Linked DNA regions of Elephas maximus indicus. The protein of the gene in region 1 purifies or fractionates together with the protein of each later gene. This does not show direct contact. Links are inferred from orthologs where the notes say so. Each region holds a gene or a part of one and is shown in the gene's direction. Other genes may lie near its edges.

Region 1 (7,371 bases):
CAGAGTTCCTGTTTAGGGTGATGAGAACGTTTTGGAAACAAACTGGTTATGATAGCACAACACCATGAGTGTGATTAATGCCACTGAACTGTTGTTGTTAGGTGCCTTCCAGTCAGTTCTGACTCATAGCAACCCTGCATACCACAGAATGAAACACTGCCCGGTCCTGTGCCATCCTCACAACTACTGTTATGCTTGAGCCCACTGAGCAGCCACTGTGTCAATCCATCTCATTGAGGGTCTTCTTCTTTTCCTCTGACCCTCTATTCTACCAAGCATGATGTCCTTTTCCAGGGACTGATCCCTCCTGGCAACATGTCCAAAGTATGTAAGATGCAGTCTCGCCAACCCTGCTTCTAAGGAGCATTCTGGTTGTACTTCTTCCAAGACAGGTTTGTTTGCTCTTTTTGCAGTCCATGGTATATCCAATATTGTTTGCCAACACCACAATTCAAAGGCGTCAATTCTTCTTTGGTCTTCCTTATTCATTGTCCAGCTTTGGCATGCATATGTTGCGACTGAAAATACCATGGCCTGGGTACTCTTGACAAATTTTATGTTGTGTATATTTTATTCCGATAAAAAACAGAGGGCTGAGGGGAAAGGAAAACTTTTTAAGGAGAATAAAACCAGGCAAACCAGGTACTTGGGTGTGGGGCTAACCACCAATGCAGTAAATACGGAGCACCTGTTTTAGGTGTTGAGGCTACCGTGGTGAACAGGGCAGACCCAGTCCTTAGTACTTACTTTTAGTGGAATTTCTAGCACACTCTCTCTGTAGTCATGCTACCCGCACACTGCCATGAAGTCGATTCTGACTCACAGCGACTTCAGAGGATTTTCAAGGCTGTAAATCTCTATGGAAGCAGACTGCCATGTCTTTCTCCCACGGAGCTGCTGGTGGTTTCAAACCACCAACCTTTTGGTTAGCAGTCAATCGCTTTAACCACTGCACCAGCAGGGCTCCTTTGTCATGCTAGAGTTGACACCACATTATTAGTAGATTACTGAATTATGTGGTTCAAATAAGTGATGGTACCAGGCCCTGGTGGCCCGAGATGTCCTCGTCCATGGTGAAGAAGCAGATCTGACCCCCGAACTGGCCTGATGGAGCCTCCCTCCCATAGCCAGTGCAAGGCAGACGCTGCCAGTATTTGCCTCTCTGACTCTCCCTCCCTACACTTCTGTGGTTGATCAGGTGTCCTCCCAGTAGGCACATGCCTTCCTTAGAGAAGGCAATAGCTTCCAGCAGATCTAAGTTACACCCAGTAAGCTTGGGCTTTCTGTGTTGAGGGGTGAGCTGTGGGAAGGCTTGGTGTATTCTTCCTAAGTGGGAATCAGCCAATCATCTTGGTCCTGTCCTTTGGAGAGTTCACATGGTATGTGTGTGACAGGGTGGGACAGATTACAGATATGCCTGTGTTGAGACTGAGGCACCCTAGTAGCATAATTAAGCCTAGTTTAGCACTCTCTGCTGGCTGAAAGGTCAGTAGTTCAAACCCACCAGCCACTCCGAGGAAGAAAGAGGAAACCCTATGGGGTAGTTCTATTCTGCTTTATAAGGTCACTATGACTAAAGATGACTGAAGAGAAGTCAATGCCTTCGAATTACGGTGTTGGCAAAGAATATTGAATACACCATGAACTGCCAGAAGAACGAACAAATCTGTCTTGGAAGAAGTACAGCCAGAGTGCTCCTTAGAAGCAAGGATGGTGAGACTTCATCTCATGTACTTTGGGTGTGTTATCAGGAGGGACCAGACCCTGGTCAAGTAGAGGGTCAGTGAAAAAGAGGAAGACCCTCAACAAGATGGATTGACACAGTGGCTGCAACAATAGGCTCAAACATAGCAACGATTGTGAGGATGGCACAAGACCGGGCAGTGTTTCATTCTGTTGTATGTAGGGTTGCTGTGAGTCGGAGCTGACTCGACAGCACCTAACAGCACGAAGTAAGTGAAAATCAACTTGACAGCAACTGGTTTGGGTTTGGTTGGTGCTGAGACTATTTGGCTGGTCAGAAAGTCTCCATTGGGTTCTGACCCCTTGGGAAGCTCGGCTAGAGCCAGACTTGCAGGAGATTTGTCATTTTGCCAGCATCCATGTCCAGGGAAAAGACCAAGGCCCCACAAGGTCAGTTCCACAGAAGCAAGGATCAGAGATACCATGTTAATATATATTTATATTTACATAGTCTTTGTCTTTTTAAATGAGGTCCCTCACTCCTACATACTTTGGCCATGTTATCAGGAGGGATCAGTCCCTGGAGAAGGGCATCATTCTTGGTAAAGTAGAAGGTCAGTGAAAAAGAGGAAGACCCTCAATGAGATGGACTGACACAGTGGCTGCAACAATGGACCCAAGCATAGCAACGATCATGAGGACGGCACAGGACTAGACAGTGTCTTGTTCTGTTGTACACATGATTGCTATCAGTCAAAACCAACTTGACGGCACCTAACAACGACAACCCTTAATATAGAAGAGCATATAAAATGTGGCCCCAAACCCCTCTGCCCAGGAGGTCTCTGCTGACCACCTCTTACTTTTCATGGTGTCCATGATGTGGCGCTGTTGGAAGCTGGTTAGTTTGGATTCCTTCATCATCACTGCAAGATAAAGCATCTCTATGAGGCCTACTGGGCTGCAGGCAGATGCCTTCACCCCACCTTATTTAAATTAAAATTTGTACCTCCTCCATTCTGCACCTGAACACTCTGCTCTCCCTTCCCTGTTTCATCTTTTCGGTGGCGCTTGTCACCATTTAAGCTCCAGATACTTAACTTATTGATTTGTTGTTACCCTCTTGCTAGATTAGCTACATTAGGACAAGAATTTTTGTTGTTTTTCCCCCATTTTGTTAACTGCCATATTCCCAGCGCCTAAAACAGTGTCTAAAGCACATATAAACCAAAAACAACCCAGCTGCCATCAAGTTTGTTCTGACTCATGAGCTGCAGAGGAGAACTATGCTCCAGAGGGTTTTCTAATCTGTCAGCTTTTGGAAGCAGATCGCCAGGCCTTTCTTCTGAGATACCTCTGAGTGGGTTTGAACTGCCTACCTTTTGGTTAGTAATCAAGTGCTTCACTATTTGTGCGACTCAGGGACTTCTACAGCACGCAGTACCAAACCCATTGCCGTCAAGTCAATTTCGACTCACAGCGACCCCATAGGACAGAACAGAACTGCCCCACAGGGTTTCCAAGGAGTGGCTGGTGGATTCGAACTGCCGACATTTTGGTCTCTTTAAAAAATTGTTGAGTGAATGTACGAGCAAGTATTCATTAAGCCAGGAGCTGGAGCTCCAACAGTGAGCCGAAACAGGCACGATCCCTGCCCTGATGGAGGTAATGATCTAGAGAGAGATGAACATTAATCTAACGGATACAGCTAGATATCTGACAACAGGTTGGGCTATGCACAATGAAGACAAAGGTATTTGATGATGTGAGGGCAGTAACAGGTGCTTCTGTTGTGGTGGTATTGGGGGGGGGGTTCCCTGAGGAAGTTGCAAGTGTGATCTGAAGAATGCACAGGAGTTACCTACTCAAAAATTCTTAGCTCTTTGACTTTTGGCTACCGGCTAGCTGTAGGGCAGACTTCCCATCTGTAAAATGAAAATCGCCATTACTAAGCCACAGGTCATGTAGGGGAGAACTGAGTTACAGAGGTTAACAGTTACCACCACTTGTCTCTTCGTGTCCTTCAAACACTGACCTCTGAGCAGTTCGCAGGTCCCCGGGGTGTAAGCGGCTGGCTGGGGGCAGCGCCAGAACCCCGTTCTTTTGGTTACTGCCCCCAGCCTCTCCTGGGAAGTCATGGGAGGGCCCTGAGTAGGGAAAGACACAATGAAACACATCCCCTGTCTCCTAGTCCCAGTCTCTGTTTCCTTGCCCCCAACCCCACCCAAAGTCTGGGAGAGTAGGTGGAGGATCTGGGTGGCAGGAGAATCGTGATGACTCTAGTAAATATCGCGACAGTGCCCGATCCCGACCCTGACACACACACACACACAGAGTCCTCATTGGGACCCAGCGCCTGTGGCAGGGAAGTCCCCTCGGGAGAAAGGGAGCGTTAAAATCGCCGTGGTCACGGCAGTACCCATGGGGTGATGTGCCAGTTGAAATCTCACCCTAAAGGAAGACGTGTCTGGGTGCCCCCTCCCTGCGGAGAGCGGCGGGTAAGCTCCCGGAGACGGACACCACGACTCTGCAGGAGCACCCGACGCAGAAGCCCCCCAGAAATATTTTGCGATCTCTGCGACTGGAGCCGGCACCTAGCGGCTCTGGCTACCATGGTAACGTGCGTAAGCCATTCGGCGCATGAGCATTGACTCACTGGCCAGCCTCCCGGAAGTGATTGCCTCTGGGTCACGGCGCAGGCGCAGGGTACGGGTGGCCGCGCGAGGCCGAGGCGCGCTGCTTGTGTGTTCTTGTGCGGCCGTGGAGTGCAGAGCGGGGTCTGTGCAGCGGTGACGTTATGTCAGACAACGAGGACAAGTGAGTGCAGGAGCGGAGTGGCCTTTGCGGGAACCTAGGGAGGGACGGAAGCGAAGGCATGGGTCGGAAGAGACTGAGAAGTCTGGGGGCTAGGGGCAGTGTCCGAGGGGACGGGGATACTGGGGGCCTGGGGACTAGGGGCAGTGTCTGAAGGGACGGGGATACTGGGGGCCTGAGGACTAGGGGCAGTGTCCGAGGGGATAGGGATACTGGGGCCCTGGGGGCTAGGGGCAGTGTCCGAGGGGACGGGGATACTGGGGGCCTGGGGACTAGGGGCAGTGTCCGAGGGGACGGGGATACTGGGGCCCTGGGGACTAGGGGCAGTGTCCAAGGGGACGGGGATACTGGGTCCCTGGGGACTAGGGGCAATGTCCGAGGGGATGGGGATACTGGGACCCTGGGGGCTAGGGGCAGTGTCCGAGGGGACGGGGATACTGGGTCCCTGGGGGCTAGGGGCAGTGTCCGAGGGAACGGGGATACTGGGGTCCTGGGGGCTAGGGGCAGTGTCCGAGGGGACGGGGATACTGGGGGTTAGGGGCAGTGTCCGAGGGGACGGGGATACTGGGGCCCTGGGGACTAGGGGCAGTGTCCAAGGGGACGGGGATACTGGGTCCCTGGGGGCTAGGGGCAGTGTCCGAGGGGACGGGGATACTGGGGCCCTGGGGGCTAGGGGCAGTGTCCGAGGGGATGGGGATATTGGGGTCCTGGGGGCTAGGGACAGTGTTTGAGGGGACAGGGATACTGGGGGCTTGAGTTGGAAGAGACTGAGGAGCTAGGGTCTAGGGACAGTGTCTGAGGGGACAGGGGATACTGAGGGATTGGCAGAGCTGCAGAAGGGAAGGGCCGAAAACCAGGAGCACAGACCAGGCCGGAGGGTAGACACAGAAAGGCCCAGGCTTGGGGGACCTTATTCAGTGAATAAGGTGTCTTTCAACAGACTGCCACTGAGTTGGGCTCTGTGCCTTGTACTGGGAATATGAGGTGAATTAGGCACAGTCCCTGTCTGCAGGCGACTACTTTCTAGGAGATGAAACTGGCCCATGAAGAGATAATATGGGGTAGCAGTAGAAGTATGTAGCAGGGAATAATCCGGAGGGGCGAGGCTGGTGAGACCTCACAGAGGTGGTGAAGGGCTATGAAATGTGACTAAGAATTGGCCTGGTGGACAAGGCAGAGAGCCTTGCAAGTAGAGAAAACAATGTATCCTAAAGAACAGAGACATGACAAGGTGTGATGTGGGGGGAATTTGGGAAACCAGCTTGTGTTCTGAAAGCAAAACATGTCAGGAAGGGGCAGCTGAGAGACAATAAAGACCAGATGATTGAGGGCGGTTGTGCCTTTTTAAAGACTTTATTCTTGATCCTTGAGGTGAAGGGGACATTGAGTTGTTTTAAGCAGTGGGGCGACACAGTTAGGTTTTCTTTTTAGAAGAGATACTTTGCATACATTGTGATGAGTGGATTTGGAGAGTCGGATTGGAAAAGAAAGACCAGTTAGGAAGTTGTTGCAAAATTATAAACTGGGAAAGGATGGAGACCTGAATTTAGATTATGACCATGGAATAGGGAGGAGGGTGCAGAGAGATTTTAGGAGATGGAGTTGACAGGACTTGGTGATAGGATGTGGGTGCAAAGGAGAGATGGAGGTTGAGCATTTTCTAGCTTGAGGAACTGGGGTGGTTCTTCCAGCCATGATAGAGAACCTGGAAGAAAGAGCGGATTGTTATTATCTTCTTTGGGTGTGGTAGGATGATCCCAAGATCAAGAATAGTGGTGAAGAGGGCAGATGTGAGAGACTGAGGTCACGAAGTCTGTTTTATCCATGTCATATTGAATTTGACTGAATTGGGTTATTTATTAAACAAATATTTATGTGTCAGGCTCTATTCCAGAAGCTTGGAATGAATTGGGGAAGGGGTGGGCGAAGCACGGTGGTAACAGGCTAAGTAAGTAAATGTGTGTTAGGAGGTGGAAAGTAGTATGGTAAAAATAGAGAGCTGGGGGCAGGACTGTAGGTTTCAGTTTTAAATAGGAAAGTTACTAGAGAGAAGGCTTTGTGGAGATGATGTCATTTGAACAAAGAGTTGAAGGAGGTGAAGGTGTTAGCCACTGGGCAGATGGGACAGCTAGAGCAAAGGCTCTAAGGTAGGAGTATGCCTGGAGTGTGTGCAGAACAGTCAGGAGGCCAACAGTGTGGCTCCTGCAAGGGGAGGGTGGTAGAGGATGAGGTCAGGGAAGTGATAGGAGGCCAAATTATATAAGCTTGTGGACCACTGTTAGGACTTGGCTTTAACTCTGATTGAAATGGGGAGCCATCAAAAAGTTGTGACCAGAGAAGTGATAGGATTTTAGGTTTCATAAGGATCACTCTGGCTACTGTGTTGGTAATAGACTGTAGGGAGTCAAAGATAGAAGCAGGGAGTTTAGTTGGGAAGTTATTGCAGTAATCTAGGTGAGAAAAGGTAGTAGCTTGAACTGGGGTGATAGTAGAGGTGGTGAGAAGTGGTTGGATTCTGGATGTATTTTGAAGGTAGAGCCAAGAGGATTTTATCATGGATTGAATGTGTGGGGTAGAGAAGAGGATTCTGAAGAGAAAAATATGGGAGTTGTCAGCAAATATATATGATTCAAAGCTAAGAAATAGGTGAGATCACCAGGAGGGTAGGTGTCAGGAGAGGATACAGCCAGTGACTGAGTGTTAGAGCTTTCCAAACATGAGTGCTTGGAGGAAGAGGTTGTTGTTAGGTGCCATTGAGTTGGTTCCAAATCAGCGACCCTGTGTACAACAGAACAAAACACTCCCTGGTCCTGTGCCATCCTCACATTCGTTGCTGTGTTTGAGCCCATTGTTGCAGCCACCGTGTAGGTCCAT
Region 2 (7,087 bases), on another chromosome or scaffold:
CAAACCCATTGCCATACAGTTGATTCTCACTAATAGCGACCCTATAGAACAGAGTAGAACTGCCCCACAGGGTCTCTAAGGAGCGGCAGGTGGATTCAAACTGCTGACCTTTTGCTTAGCAGCCAAGCTCTTAAGCACTGCCACCACCAGGGCTCCATATTGTACAACAGTGGTTCCCAAACCCTAAATGCACAGGAGTCACCTGTGCAATCTTGTTAAAGTGCAGATTAATTCTGCGTTTCTAACAAGCTTCCAGGTGATGCAAATGCTGCTGGTCTATGAGCCACACTTTGAGTAGCAAGGCCATAGACCGCGACCCTATATAAGGAGAGGCCAGGGCACTTCTCTCAAGAATGACATTTGACTTTGTGTAGCCACTCCCGCCTCTTTGTCATCCCATAACTATGATTTAACTGTTCATGTGGTCATTCAACCCATCAACACTTACAGAGAATCTGCTATCTGCAAACCCTCTGCCAATTCATTTCAACCAACATCTTTGAGTTCCGGTCCTTGTGTGAGGCTCTCAGGATTAATCACGATTAAGACCCTTTCCTTTCTGTCACACATTCAACATTAACTGAGGGTCTACTCTGTGCCAGGCACTGGTCCAGGAGCTGCAGCTACAGCAGCGAACAAACAGGCATAAATCTTTTTATTGCTTAACCCCCAAATTATTTTTATTGTTTTAGTATTTATTGTTAACCCCAAATAAATTTAGCGAGGGAACAATCAGGTGGGAAACAGGCAAATAATTAGAACTAAGCTTATTTTTTCCTCTTCTTCCCTCACTGCGCCCCCCCCCCCCCCAATAAATCTAAAAGCCATCAAGAGGAGTCAAGCAAAGGTAGATTTCCACTCAGAGCAGAAGGAGAGCCTGCAGTGGTCTAGAACAGGGGTGCTGGAGCCTAAGGAGTGTGAAAAGGCATCCATGTGGAAGGGTGGCCAGGTAAAGAGTGTCTGAGCCCAGCTAGGTGTCTCAGTTATCTAGTGTTACTATGAAAGAAATACGACAAGTGGATGGCTTTAACAAACAGAAATCTATTCTCTCATAGTTTAGGAGGCTAGAAGTCTGAATTCAGGGTGCCAGCTCCAAGGGAAGGCTTTCTCTCTCTGTTGGCTCTGGGTGAAGGTCCTTGTCATCAATCTTCCCGTGAGTCTAGTACCTTCTCAGCACAGGGACCCCAGGTCCGAAGGATGTACTCCACTCCAGGCTCTTCTTTCTTGGTGGTTTCTTGCTCATTTCTCTCTTTTGTATCTCATAAGAGATTGACTCAAGATACAAACTAATCCTGTAGATTGTATCCTGCCTAATTAACATAACTGCTTTTAATCCTGCCTCATTATCATAGAGGTTAGGATTATCAACACATAGGTTAATTATATCAGATCACAAAACAAAGGACAACCTCACAATACTGGAAATCATGGCCTAGCCAAGTTGACGCACATTTTTGGGGGACACAATTCAATCTGTGGCACTGGGCAGGGGTGCAGCTTGGCTGGGGTTATCAGAGTCTGAGCAAAGTGAAGAGGGGATTCATGCAGGTGGTGGAATGGCGTTGGTAATGGCCCAGTACAGGGTGTTAGAGCCTGAATGAAGTAAGAAGGGCATCCATGTCAGGTGGTGGTGGTGGTCATGGTGGTGGCAGGAGATGATTACTTACAGAGGATTGATCAAATAAGTGAATGTATTAAGGCTAACTGGAACCAGGTTTCTCAGCGTGAGAGAAAAAAACAAAAACAAAAAACCATTGCCGTCAGGTCGATTGCGACTCATAGTGAACCTATAGGACAGAGTAGAACTGCCCATAGAGTTTCCAAGGAGCACCTGGTGAATTTGAATGGCTGACCTTTTGGTTAGCAGCTGTAGCTCTTAACCACTATGCCAAGGGAGTTACAAATATGAGACGAAAGAAAACTAGAATGAACCCTTGTGGTGTTGGATTAGAATCAGAGGTCAGTGTGAACTCATGATTTTCAGTATATATATACAGATCTAGAAATAAATACAGTTGTAAGCATTAATACATGTATTTCCTAATTTGGCCAACCAAGAGGGCCTGGGAGCAGTGGCATGCCAAAAGCAAAATATATCTAACACACAGATCTTTGTTTCTAAATTCTATTTCTCAGCAAAAATGTCTTAGAGAAATTTCTTACGGCAAAAATTTCTTAGAGAAATAGCTGATTGCAGGGTTGGGGCAGGGAAAGTACAAGATGAACTGGGATACTTTGTTGTGCCAGGAGGTAGGGATATGCTCTAAAACTGATGGGGCATGTCAAAAGGACACAGCAGGCAACTCGAAGGGATTTCCAATGGCACGATCTGGAAACATTTCAACACAGAAACAAATAATGATAACAGCAGATTTTAATCTACTGAATAAGATAGGAACCAACAAGTCCAAACTGACATAAATTAATAAACTGAAAATGTGATGAATGAGACACTTGCATAGTCAGTCTCTAAGTACCTTCCACAAAATACTAACTACAAAGGGACAAAGAATAACTTCGTGGTGGAGATGTCTGGTTGACACTACCTTAATCAAGTGATCAAAGTTAGTATCACTAGTAATGGAGTAAATCGAAATTATGTGCCACCTGATAGAATACAAGAAGAACACAAATAGTTCTGCCAAAGATGTATAATCTGAAACTAATCATTTGGAAACATTAGATCATTTAGAAACCCAGAGGGAAGTTTTACAAATCACTGGCCTGTGATCATTAAAATGGTCAAAGTTATGAAAGTCAAAGAAAGACTGAGCAACTGTTTCAGATTATAAGAGACTAAAGAGCTATAACAACTAAATGCACCACGTGATTGTGGACAGGATCCTTTCCCTACGAACAAAGTTAGTGCGACCAATGGTTAATTTACATGGAGTGTGAGGATTACATGGAAGTAATGCATCCATGTTAATTGTCTGGTTTTGATGACTGCATTGTATTTAGGGAATGTGTTTGTCAGTAGGAAATACTATACAGTCTTCAGAGGCAATGGAATTCAGGTTGGCAGCTTACTCTAAAATGATCAGGGCAAAAAAAAAAAATTACTCATACTTGCTCGCAATATTTCTGTAAATTTGCGATTGGGTCATTATAAAAATGTGGCAACTGCTCAGGTAAAGGGAAGCTGAAGTGCTAGGTTTTTTTTGGAGGAGATTGGGTGTCTGTGTAGGGGGTGACAGGGGTGCTAGGGACGGCTTCTTAAGGCTGAAACCTGAACATAGTCTTGAAAGAAGGCGCTTTGGAGAACCGAGAAGAGCCAATCCGAGTTCTTGCCCTTCAACAGTACCGTCTTTTGACTGGCAAGAGGAACCCCTGGCCTGGGTCCATGCTTTAGAGGCCCTGCTCTGGTAACTTCCCTCGGGGAGCGGGGTGGAATCCTCAGGGCCAAGGGGACATGCCCATCAGGTCCACCTCCCCTCTTAGGACACAACCAAGAATTCCCTGCCCAAAAGCTCTGAGCCTGTTCGCATTTCCCCCTGATCCTAGTGTATGCTCTCCTAGCTCATGGGGGAGGTGCTGGCGGGGTTGTGGACGCAGCTTGGACTAAAGGACTGGGAGCCCACATGTGTAGATGGCAACTCTTAGAGAGTGGGTAGCTCTCCGCCAGCTGCCACATTTAGTTGTAGCTGGAGGAGGTCCAGTAGGAGAATCCTAAGTTTGAACCTAGTTTTTCAGGTCTCAGGAAGATATATTTGTCAATGTAGAAGAAATAGATCATACTTTATCCAGACCATGCTGAGCAGCTGGAAACCAAACACGAAGCACAGACTGAAGCTGCAGACGTTTGGGCGCCCTCAGCCCTAGTCCCACAAAACCAGTATAGTGCAGGGGTACGGTGTGCCGGAGACCACACCTGTCAGCGCCGAGCTGCTGCGCTGAGTGGCCGGGGCAGCACGCCGAGCTGCTGCGCTGAGTGGCCGGGGCAGCGCGCCGACACGCTCCGGGGAGGAGCGTGCAGGGGGGAGGGCGATGTCAGGAGGGGGCGGAAACACGCGTCTCCGAGCGCGCGGGGCGGTGCCTCACGAGGCCACGCCCTTCCGGTTCGGCGCACTAGGCGGGATACCACGTGTGACCTAATGCACCCGGTAGTCCAGGCTAGTTCAGCTTCGAGTTGTGGCCGCTAGAGGGGCGAGATGGCGGCGGAGGTGTTGCCGAGTGCGAGGTGGCTGTACTGTGGGGAGCCCGACGGTAGCCAGAGAGCTGTACTCGGTAAAGACTGCGGAGCTGGAGCGGAGTTCCCTTTATCCCACTTCCGTCTCTTGGTACCTCTCCAGTCTCCCGCGCCCCGCCTGGCCCCCCTCCCACCTGGGCCAGTATCCCTCTAGTCTCTACTCATTGGGGCTCATTCAGGGCTTCAACGTCATCCTGCCACCCTGTCACCACTCCCAGCTGGATGGGGACATCCCTGCCACACCCTCCCCAGGGCCGTGCCCAGGACCCTTTAGTCCCCTCATCCACCATCTCTCCTATCTGCCCCATTTCCCTCTCTCCTCTGGGTAGAGAGCCCCTTTGTTTTTCTAGAACTGGACCAGACCTCCTCTGTAACCTCTATCCTCCCAGTCATTCCCTCCTGTCACAGGCTCTCCCGGGGGCTCCTCTCACCTGTTCATCCCTTCTCAACTGGGTCAGGACTTCCTTCCCCATCTCCATTCTTCGAATCACTTCCAGTGACTCCCCGTTTCCTCTTCACATACACTGTGGGTCCCCTTCTCATTCTGCTCTTGGCTGCAACCTTACAGTCCAGTTCTCCAATGGAAAGCTGCAGAATCCAGGCAACATGCACTTTACCTTGTACAAGAATAAAGACTCCACAAACCCCAGGAAGAGGAGTCAGCGAATCTTAGTAAGTCATGGTTGCCAATTACCTCCACTCTGCAGACCTCAGGAGGTCCCTTGGGTGTGGGTGGCTGTGAAGGGAGTGAGGGAGGAAAAAAGGGGGGCAGCAAATGGGCCTTTAAAGAACTATTCCTCCCCCCGCCCCACAGCTGGTGTGGGGCAGGCTTGGCCATCCAGGTTTGGAACTTTTGGAGAAGTGATGACGGTTAATTCATTTGTTAATTCAACAAGCATTTACTGAGCACCTGCCGTGGCCCTGTGCTGTAACCTGTTGGGGGTAAAGCCAAACTAGACCTGGTGCCGCTCTGAGGGAGCTCATACTCTAGAACAGGGTTTCTCAACTGCAGCACTATTGACATTTGGGGCCAGATAATCCTTTGTTGTGGGCAGCTGTCCTGTGCATCACAGGATATTTAGCAGCATTCCTGGTCTCTACCCACTAGATGCCAGTAATACTCTTCCCCGCCCCCAACCCCCAGTTGTGACAATCAAAAATGTCAAACATTGCCAAATGTCCCACTGGGGTGGGGGACAAAATTGTCCTGGGTTGAGAGCCTCTGCTCTGGAGGGAGAGGTGAGAATTGGATGTGAGGGACACTCATACAAGTAGACAAAGCTCAAGGCCTAAGGGAGAGAGTACAGGGCAGAGTGAGCTCAGAAAGGGGAGAACTCTCTGCTTGCCAGAATGCCTTTTTGGAAGAGGGTTCACTGGAGCTGAGCCCTGAAGGATGGGGGTAGGAGAGACTGTCAGGTGAGATTTGATATTCCAGGTGAAGAGGATAGCAAGAACTAGTGCTTGACTGTGATTGGGGTGTGAATTAACCATTTCCGTGGTCCTAAGAGTACGTAAAGAGTAGTCATGGTAGAAGTGAACAAAAAGGATAAAAGAGAATTTGGATTCCAGGCCAAGGAGGTTGCCTGCAGAATCACCTTGTTGCATGCCTATGTATATGTGTTGGGAGCCCAGGGCCTTTCCCCCAAGTCCTGTGGTGCACCTCGGCCAGGAACCTTTAATATGGTTAGAACTCAGCACCTTCTGGGGCTTACCTTTCAAAAGTCCTCTTGCCCTTTCCCCAGGGGTACCCCAGATTCACTTAGAGATAGTGGGGCTGTACCACCTCCCAGTGGCTCTCTAGTTCTAATCCACTGTGGTTCTGCATTCTAAAGCTTTTGCAAATGTATAAAAAGGAGACAAGATACTTAGTACCTTTTGACATTAAGTGGAGCTTTTTTCCCTTCTATATTTTAGGCAGCTGAAACAGACAGACTTTCCTATGTGGGGAACAATTTTGGGACCGGAGCCCTCAAATGCAACACTTTGTGCAGGTAGTGATGGGGACGGGCAGCATTAAAGGTAATGGGGAGGGTAGAGGTGGTGCCACTGGCATTTTTGTTATCAGTCTTTATCATAGGGGCAGTGGGAGAACGTAGGGAGGTTAACAAGTCCCTGTGTTCCTGGACCCAGGGATCCTCATACCAGCCTGTTAATATTCCTGAAAAAGAGAGATGACTTCTATTTGTTAAAAATTCTTAAACCGTGTTAATTTGTAATATTCTTTATATCTGTCTTATTCCAATTGACAGCTGTCTCTACAAATTTGGAATGTGTGATTAGTAGACCAGACCTTGCCTGAAGTTTGCCTTGGAACTAACTACAAGAAAAGGATTTAGTAGTGTTGAAGGCTCTGGGCTGGGAAGGAGGGGCCCAGGGTTTCCATCTAGCTCCGTGGTAGTTGACTGAGCGACACTGGAGAACTCTGCCTTTCACTGACCCTTGTCCTCCCTCTCTGTACAGTGAAGATTGTCCAGCTGAAACAGGCTACAATTCTCAGGGGCTGGCATAATGCAGATGGGGTCCCTGTGATGCTACCCAACCCATAAAAAAACCTGTTGCCGTCGAGTCGATTCCTATTCATAGCGACCCTATAGAACAGTAGGACTGCCCCATAGAGTTTCCAAGGAGCGCCTATTGGATTTCAACTGCCAGCCTTTTGGTTAGCATCTATAGTTCTTAACCACTACGCCTCCAGGGTTTCCTTACAGTGAACCACAAACAAGGCCCTGTCTGAACTCCCACTAGACCACATCCTGATACAAGTCAGATTAATGCACATATGCTTAAAAGTATTAACACGCTGCATCCCCTCACAAAGATTCTCTAATTCAGAGTGGTCTTCTCCCCATAATCAGTATGGTTTTACTCATATGTGCCTCCGTAAAATTTATACATGCA
Region 3 (7,495 bases), on another chromosome or scaffold:
CAATTCTGACTCACAGTGACCCTACTGGAGAGAGTAGAACTGCCCCATAGGGTTTCCAAGGCTGTAATCTTTACGGAAGAAATCCTGGTGGTGTAGTGGTTAAGAGCTACAGGGTCTAACCGAAAGGTCGGCAGATCGAATCCACCAGGTGCTCCTTGGAAACCCTATGGGGCAATTCTACTCTGTCCTGTAGGGTCGCTAGGAGTGGGAATCCACTCGATGGCAATAGGTTTGTTTTTCTGAGGGGGAGGGAATCTTCCACCCGAGGAGCAGCTGGTGGGTTTGAACCGCTAACCTTTAGGTTCGCAGTTGAGCACTTAACCACTGCACCACCAGGGCTCCTTAGGATTAGCAGTAAGGAATATTATTTCATCAAATCAAATAAACTCAACCTACATGTAGTTTAACCTACACAGCATTACGCATGCTCCAAGCTCTCAAAAGTTATAGCCAAAACTATTTCTCTTAACACAGACACTAAAGTTAGCTGGGTCCATGAATCTTTCAGAGTAGCAGAACTGACAAGAAAAACAATAAACTAAAACTTAGTTTCTGAGTTGAACCTTGGGTAAGCTACTGCTACTGCTACTGTCTGCACACACTTCCAAATATATCAAGAAGTGCTGTATCCAAAGATTGGGAAGAGAAAATAAGGGAATAGTGGAAAACCTTTCAACCTAGCCCCACTGAACATGGCTCTGTTGGTGGATAAACAGTAAAAGATAAAACAGCTGTGAAGCAGTCCTTCTCACTGATTGGGTGAAGAAAACTTCCTAGCAGTAGTTCATTGAAAGTTAATGTAAATACCCAGCCTCTGGTGTTCTGAGAAAAGGAGCCCTGGTGGTGCAGTGGTTAAAGCGCTCGGCTACGAACCACGGGAAAACGATGTGGCAGTTTGCTTCCTTGGAAACCTGATTGGGCAGTTTTACTCTGTCCTATAGGGTCACTGTAAGTTGAAATCGACCTGAAGGCTGTGGGTTTAGTTTCAGTTGTTGTTCTGAGAGGCCTAAAGCCATGGGTGACCTTGTCATCCAACTAACACACAAAAAGTCAGTACCCTCTTGAGATGCAAATTCAGTCATAACAAAGAAATATTTTATTCATGATAAGATAAGCAGCATCTGGCTATCCTCAGAGAGACACCCAGGTTTCTCATGACATTCATCCAGTTCAGCAAACACCGCATGCCTAATGCATAGCGAGCAGCCCTGGTGGTCCAGTGGTTAAAGCGTTCAGCTGCTAGCAAAAGTCAGCAGTTCGAACCCACAAAATTTGCAGAGACTATTTTATTACCTATACTTATGGTGTTCATAAAGAGTATTGAATATACCATGGATTGCCAGAAGAACAAATAAATCTGTCTTGGAAGAAATACAGCCAGAATACTCCTCAGAAGCAAGGATGGCAAGACCTGTCTCAGGTACTCTGGACATGTTATCAGGAGGGATCAGTCCCTGGAGAAGGACATCATGCTTGGTAAAGAAGAGGGTCAGTGAAAAAGAGAAAGACCCTCTAAAAGACGGATTGACTCAGTGGCTACAGCAACGGGCTCCAAGAGCAACAATTGTGAGGATGGCACAGGACTTGGCAGTGTTTTGCTCTATAGCACATGGGGACACTATGACTTGGAATCTACTGGACAGCTCCTAACAACAATGACAACATTACCTATACTTACAGCTACCCATTTATTATAACCAGAAAGGATACAAGCAAAGAGACACATCAGACAAGATCCACTGTCCCCAGGCACAAACCTCACTCACCCTCTCCCCTGCGTGGATGTTCCGACTGATCCTGGAAGCCCCCCGAAAAGGGATTTCAAGGCCCAGAGTACCTTAGTCATTGGGACCTCAACGAATACGCATGACTGCATCACTTCCCCCTCCCTTCTTGAAGTCAGTTTGGTTTGCTAGATATGGGGCCTGTACAGCCCCTACTTGCCTGGCTATTTTAGAAAGGCAAAGAGCACCTTAACTGCTCAGGCTATTTTCAGAACCAGATACAAAAGGTCAAACTTAGTTCTTTGTCCCACACCCTGCTCTCTCACAAACTATCCATTGTCATTCACCTCACATTATTTTTCTCATGTTTGTCTTGTCTTCTCAACAAGATTGGGAGGTCTTTAAGGGCAGGGACCATATAGTCTTCCATATCACCTCCAAAACATCCAGTAGAGCCTTCTATGCACATAAAAAGTATTCAGTTATATTTAACCATGTCAGGCTTCAATTTATAAATAGGGCAAGACAGATAATAAACCAGACTTTGGAAATATCAAAAATTCTCCTTCAGGCTTCTAAGGCTTAGAAAAACACCTAAAAAGCCTTTCAAGTTATACTTTTCCGAGGGCATTTTGAAGTGAGGACTTCAGGTGGTAAGACGAAAAGATATACTAAATTGTGGAGGTTTGGACTAAGTTTTCTCATTCTTAAAAGCAAGGACCAGCAGTGTCTCAAAGATCAGAAGAGCTTCAGACTGCAGTGTTCAATAAGGCATCACATTCAACAACATGTCACTATTCACTACTAGCTGCATTCAGACCCCCTCAGTGAGAGTTCTGGGAACTCTTGATGTCTGCTGGGAAAAAACAAGGCACCTGCTCTTGCCAGCACTAAAATATAGCAAACACACACACACACATACAGCCAAATCAGAAACCAAACCTAAGTAGCATTTAGATGAAATTATGACTATGAAATTGGGGGTAGGCAGATAGAAAAGAAAAACGCTGGAAAAGCCTTAAAAAGCACAACTTTCAGATGAAAAGGCAAGAAATATCCTTTAGGCGCTTATTCACTGGACTCCATTTGTGTTTCTATGAAAGAAGAAGACGCGCAGACACACTTCAGTAGGCTTTCTCATAGATTGCATCTGAGATAATACACAGGTTATCTTGCGTAGCTACCCTGTCTTAACACTAAACCTAAAGACTTTTAAGGAAAGGAACAACCATAAGTAATTCTAAAAACAGCTGGTCAAGTGTAGAACTAACATTCGCCCTGGTGGGTCTCCCCCCAGCAGCTATACCCAACCCAAAACAGCTTCAGGTTTGGGGTGCTGGAGCTGATTAGCATGCCGCAAAAGCGTTTTCCTCAAAACCAGTGAACTACCTCTCTAGGAGGCTAACAGTCTGGCAGAAACTGGTGAAACCAATTTTGTATCAGAGGATGCAGTCCCCAACATTTTGTCCTAAATCTTTTTTCTTTTTAAGTAAGGGAAGTGGGTGAGGAAGGTGACACTGGCAACATCACAACTAAAATAAACCAAGTTGAAACAATATGTTCCGCCTCCTTCCTTAAGCCATTCTCTTCCAAAGTGATAGGGAGCTCAGGAAGTCTGCAAGTCATTAGTTCACTGCTGTTTTCACTTTCGCAAAAACCCTGGAAACCACTGAATAGCAAAATCGCCCTCTTCTCCCTATGTTTACTTTCCAATACTCCCTTTCCGTGCTTTCTTCCTTCCTTCCTTAGAGACAACCGAATAGTGACAATCATCAGCAATCCGCTATTCAACTTCACCGAGGAGGAGAAGGGACAAGGGGGAGGAGGGAGCTGCTGAAAAGTGGAGAAGGAAATAGGGGAAGGTGAGAAGCAAAAGCGCAAAGGAGAATGGGGTGGGGGAGGAAGAGAGGTCATCGTGGGAAGGAGACAAGATGAAGAGTGCAAGAAAATTGGGAGAAGAGTTGTCAGAGGAGAAGCTGCTAAGGAAGACAAAAAGAGGAGGGGGTCAGGTAAAGACAGGAAATGGAATAAGGGGCAAATGGAGCATCCGAGGAGAAAAATACGGGCCGCGGCGCCCGGGGCTTGGGACAAACGACCGGAGACGGTGGGCAGCAGGTATTCGGGGACCGAGTCAGCGGAATCAGGGCAGTGCAGGAAGCTTAAGACCTGTTTCCGGGCTATCGGGAGGAGGAATCCATGCAGGTGCCCGAGCGCAGAGGACACCGCGTTCTTACCGGTAGTTTCGGGCTAACCTCGCCCTTGCAAAAGTGGCAGAAAAACCGGTGCGCGGCTACAGCAGTCCCGGCCGCCGAGGCCTCCGCCATTTTCCTCCTCCGCCGCGGCTGGCGGACACGGCAGCCGGCCGGTCCCTCGCCAGGCCGCTGCTAGCCAGCTACGGCCGCCGCCTCCGCTGCCGCTGCCGCTGCCACCGCTGCCTCCTCTGTGCGACCCGCGGCTCCCGAGTCCGCGTCGGTCACGTGAGTCCGCTGGGCTCAGCCAGACGGCGCCGGCGCGGCCCGCGACCCCGCGGCCCGCCCCCAGCACCAAAAAGGCGCAAGAGAGTCCCCCAGCCGCGGCCCGCCCCGCCGGGTCCTCAAACAGCCCCTCGTCGGTCCTCCAACCTTCCAGCGAGAAGAAAGAAAGAGCGTCTCGGAAACCACTGAAACTCTGGGGTAGAGCGGCCCCCAATTTTACCGCTTCCTGGTTCTCCGGGGTGTTGGTCTTCTTGCGAGAAAGGGCTGTGGGCTCTCCCTCTGCCCGGGAGGCTAGTGGGAGCCGCGCGAAGTCGTTGGGATGAACTCGAGGTGTTAGGTTTGGAGCCCCCGGATTGCATTGACCCTGAGGTTAGTGGGAAATGCCGTATGAACGAAGCGGCCTTGGCTCTGGATCAAGAGACCAAGTTCGGAACGCGAACCTGCGTGAAGGGAGTGGAGATGCTGGAGCCAAGCTCCTTAGGAATCCTCTTCGAGGATGGCTAAGGGCCTGGGGATGCTTTTCCAAAGACATGTGGATGGGTGAAATAGGTCTCTGGCGACGCTGAGGCTGGGAGACAAACACTTGGATTCTGAGGGGTTGGGAGGACTACACGAATCAACCAGTATTTCGTAGCAGCTTGTGATCAAAAGGAAACTCTGGTGGCGTAGTGGTTAAGTGGTACGGCTGCTAACCAAAAGGTCGGCAGTTCGAATCCGCCAGGCACTCCTTGGAAACTCTATGGGGCGGTTCTACTCTGTCTTATAGGGTCGCTATGAGTCGGAATCGACCCGACGGCAGTGGGTTTTGGTTGGGTTTGTGATCATAAGGAAGTAACCCTAAAAAGAGTACCTGGGTTTTGCAAACAGTTAAGCATTAAGGTTGAAGATTCGAATCCACCCAGAGGCATTTCCTTAGAAAGGCCTGGTGATCCACTTCGAAAAATCAGCCGTTGAAAACCCTACGGAGCGCGGTTCTACCCTAACACACGTGGGGTTGCCATGAGCCAGAATGACTCCAGTGCAAGTGGTTTAATCGTATAATTAGCTATGTCCATTTTGGTTTGTGTCTATTTTGTCAAGGAGTAGAAATTTCATAATTAAATACTGCCCTGTAAACAGCATACTTCATCTCCTGTTTGAAGGACCCTGTCCTGTTAAGAAGCTCTACCTCCTAATTTCATTTTCCTTAACCAACTGGGACTGACACTGCCTGGTCACTCCTAGTGGGCTGTGAACACTCACTTCTTCCAAGCAATAGAATCTAAGGTCTGTGACAGATCACAAAACCATCTACAGCCAAACTTAAAAAAAAATTTTTCATCGTACATAATCTCATAAAGATAAATTTGATGCTGTACACATTCTAGCCTTGTTTTCTATGCATACGTGTTTTTTGTTTGTTTTTACAATAATTCAATTTTACTCCACGTTTTGCTTTGTAACTTGCTTTTTTCACTTAATACATTATGAACAACTTTTTTGTTAACACATACATACTATATGTCGTTTTAAATGTGGGTATAGTATTCTATCGTATGGAGATACCATAATTTATTGAACTGAGTCCTTATTGCTAGGATACTAGATTGTTTCTAGTATTTTAACGAGAACTACAGTGACGTGTTTTTATTATTTCCTGGGGACAGAGTACTCACAATGAAATTGCTGGGCCAAAAGTGTGCAAGATTTTAAGACTTTTGAAATATATTGCTACATCACCCTCCAGAAAGAGTACGTGAATTTATACTCAGCAAGTCTACAGTAAACACGCTCTACACGCAACATAAAAGCAAAATTTCCCATCATATACTTTTTTTCCTAGCTCTGAAGCCCCTCAAGTACAATGACCCAAGCAGAAATTAAGCTGTGTTCTTTGTTGCTGCAAGAGCATTTTGGAGAGATCGTAGAAAAAATTGGAGTCCACCTAATCAGAACTGGTAGCCAACCACTAAGAGTAATTGCCCATGACACAGGAACATCACTGGATCAGGTATGTTTAAATAGCATTAATGTACACTTCTGTCACCTACCTTTAAATATTGTTACTGCCCACCCAAGAAAATGGAAAAGGGAGGAAACCTGCCCTAGAATCAGAACCATGTTGTTTGGGGGAAAGAGAATGGGACTTAAGCCCCAAGGTCCTGCTTTTCAAAATGTTCCTAGTTCATTGTGGCTTCTTAGGCAAGTCATTCCTCTTCCCATTCCATGCCTCATTTGTTTACTATGATTCTATTAATCTCAGTACTACCTTTAAGGAATGAGAGAGAGAGAGCAAATTGTACTTTGAAAGAATCAGAGGGAATAGAAGCATCAGGAAGGAATTGTCCAGATTTCTTCCATTGACATGTGGTTCTTATTAACTACTCCAGGGGAGAGAGAAGCAGCACAGAGATTCCTCTCCAGCTATCTCCTGGTGCTTAGAAAACCGTTGGACAAAAATTGCCAGCAATATTGAGCTATGTCTTCAGGTCTCTCTTTCTTTGGGTTCTACCTAGGTTAAAAAAGCCCTTTGTGTCCTTATCCAACATAACCTGGTGACATACCAAGTACACAAACGTGGTGTGGTGGAGTATGAAGCCCAGTGCAGCCGGGTATTACGAATGCTGAGGTATCCCCGGTACATCTATACTTCCAAAACGCTGTACAGTGACACTGGAGAGCTAATTGTTGAGGAGCTGCTGTTGAATGGCAAAATGACAATGTCAGCTGTCGTGAAGAAAGTGGCAGACCGGCTCACAGAGACAATGGAGGGTCAGTACTGTATCCACAGCTGCTAGCCAAAGCTTAGATTATGGGGCTGCAGGAGCAGACCCTTAGCTATCTTAGACCGTCTAATCTGCCCCTTTGCTCCTGTTGTACAGATGGCAAGACCATGGATTATGCTGAGGTATCAAACACTTTTGTGCGACTGGCAGACACACACTTTGTGCAGCGCTGTCCCTTGGTACCTGCCACTGAGAATTCAGACCCTGGGCCACCGCCACCTGCTCCCACTCTTGTCATTAATGAAAAGGACATGTACCTAGTTCCTAAACTGAGCTTGATAGGTAAGGAATTTTGACTTTTCAAATTGTGATTTGTCCTAACTGTGGACTCTTCGTCATTTTTAAATGAATGCATGAATCGAGTATTCATCAAGTGATTGGTATGTGCAGAAGTTGTGGTATATAATAATGAAAAAACCAGCGTGACCCCTGCTGTTACGGGACTTTAGTATAGGAGATGTGCATTAATCAAATAATCACGTAAATATAGAATAACAAACTGTGATAAATACTGTGAAGGAAAACTATAGAG

The links. The genes of interacting proteins can lie anywhere in the genome.
Region 2: the proteins of POLR2F (region 1) and POLR1E purify together in Homo sapiens (affinity purification with mass spectrometry; 4 studies listed by BioGRID and IntAct, with this or other methods). This does not show direct contact. The link is inferred for Elephas maximus indicus from reciprocal best matches to the Homo sapiens genes POLR2F and POLR1E.
Region 3: the proteins of POLR2F (region 1) and POLR3C purify together in Homo sapiens (affinity purification with mass spectrometry; 3 studies listed by BioGRID and IntAct, with this or other methods). This does not show direct contact. The link is inferred for Elephas maximus indicus from reciprocal best matches to the Homo sapiens genes POLR2F and POLR3C.

What each region holds. Positions count from the first base shown.
Region 1 is NC_064822.1:181,847,480-181,854,850, forward strand, and holds the start of POLR2F (DNA-directed RNA polymerases I, II, and III subunit RPABC2), read left to right. Parts: upstream 1-4,363; 5' UTR 4,364-4,480; coding exon 4,481-4,500; intron 4,501-7,371. Other genes in the region: C4H22orf23 (UPF0193 protein EVG1), read right to left, coding at 2,547-2,609, 3,719-3,821. UniProt on the Homo sapiens protein: DNA-dependent RNA polymerase catalyzes the transcription of DNA into RNA using the four ribonucleoside triphosphates as substrates.
Region 2 is NC_064827.1:46,344,223-46,351,309, forward strand, and holds the start of POLR1E (DNA-directed RNA polymerase I subunit RPA49), read left to right. Parts: upstream 1-4,069; 5' UTR 4,070-4,151; coding exon 4,152-4,227; intron 4,228-4,757; coding exon 4,758-4,861; intron 4,862-6,103; coding exon 6,104-6,180; intron 6,181-7,087. UniProt on the Homo sapiens protein: Component of RNA polymerase I (Pol I), a DNA-dependent RNA polymerase which synthesizes ribosomal RNA precursors using the four ribonucleoside triphosphates as substrates.
Region 3 is NC_064821.1:157,754,234-157,761,728, reverse strand, and holds the start of POLR3C (DNA-directed RNA polymerase III subunit RPC3), read left to right. Parts: upstream 1-4,477; 5' UTR 4,478-4,567; intron 4,568-5,844; exon of another isoform or gene 5,845-5,929; intron 5,930-6,020; 5' UTR 6,021-6,041; coding exon 6,042-6,188; intron 6,189-6,693; coding exon 6,694-6,949; intron 6,950-7,059; coding exon 7,060-7,245; intron 7,246-7,495. Other genes in the region: E3 ubiquitin-protein ligase RNF115, read right to left, coding at 3,959-4,048. UniProt on the Homo sapiens protein: DNA-dependent RNA polymerase catalyzes the transcription of DNA into RNA using the four ribonucleoside triphosphates as substrates.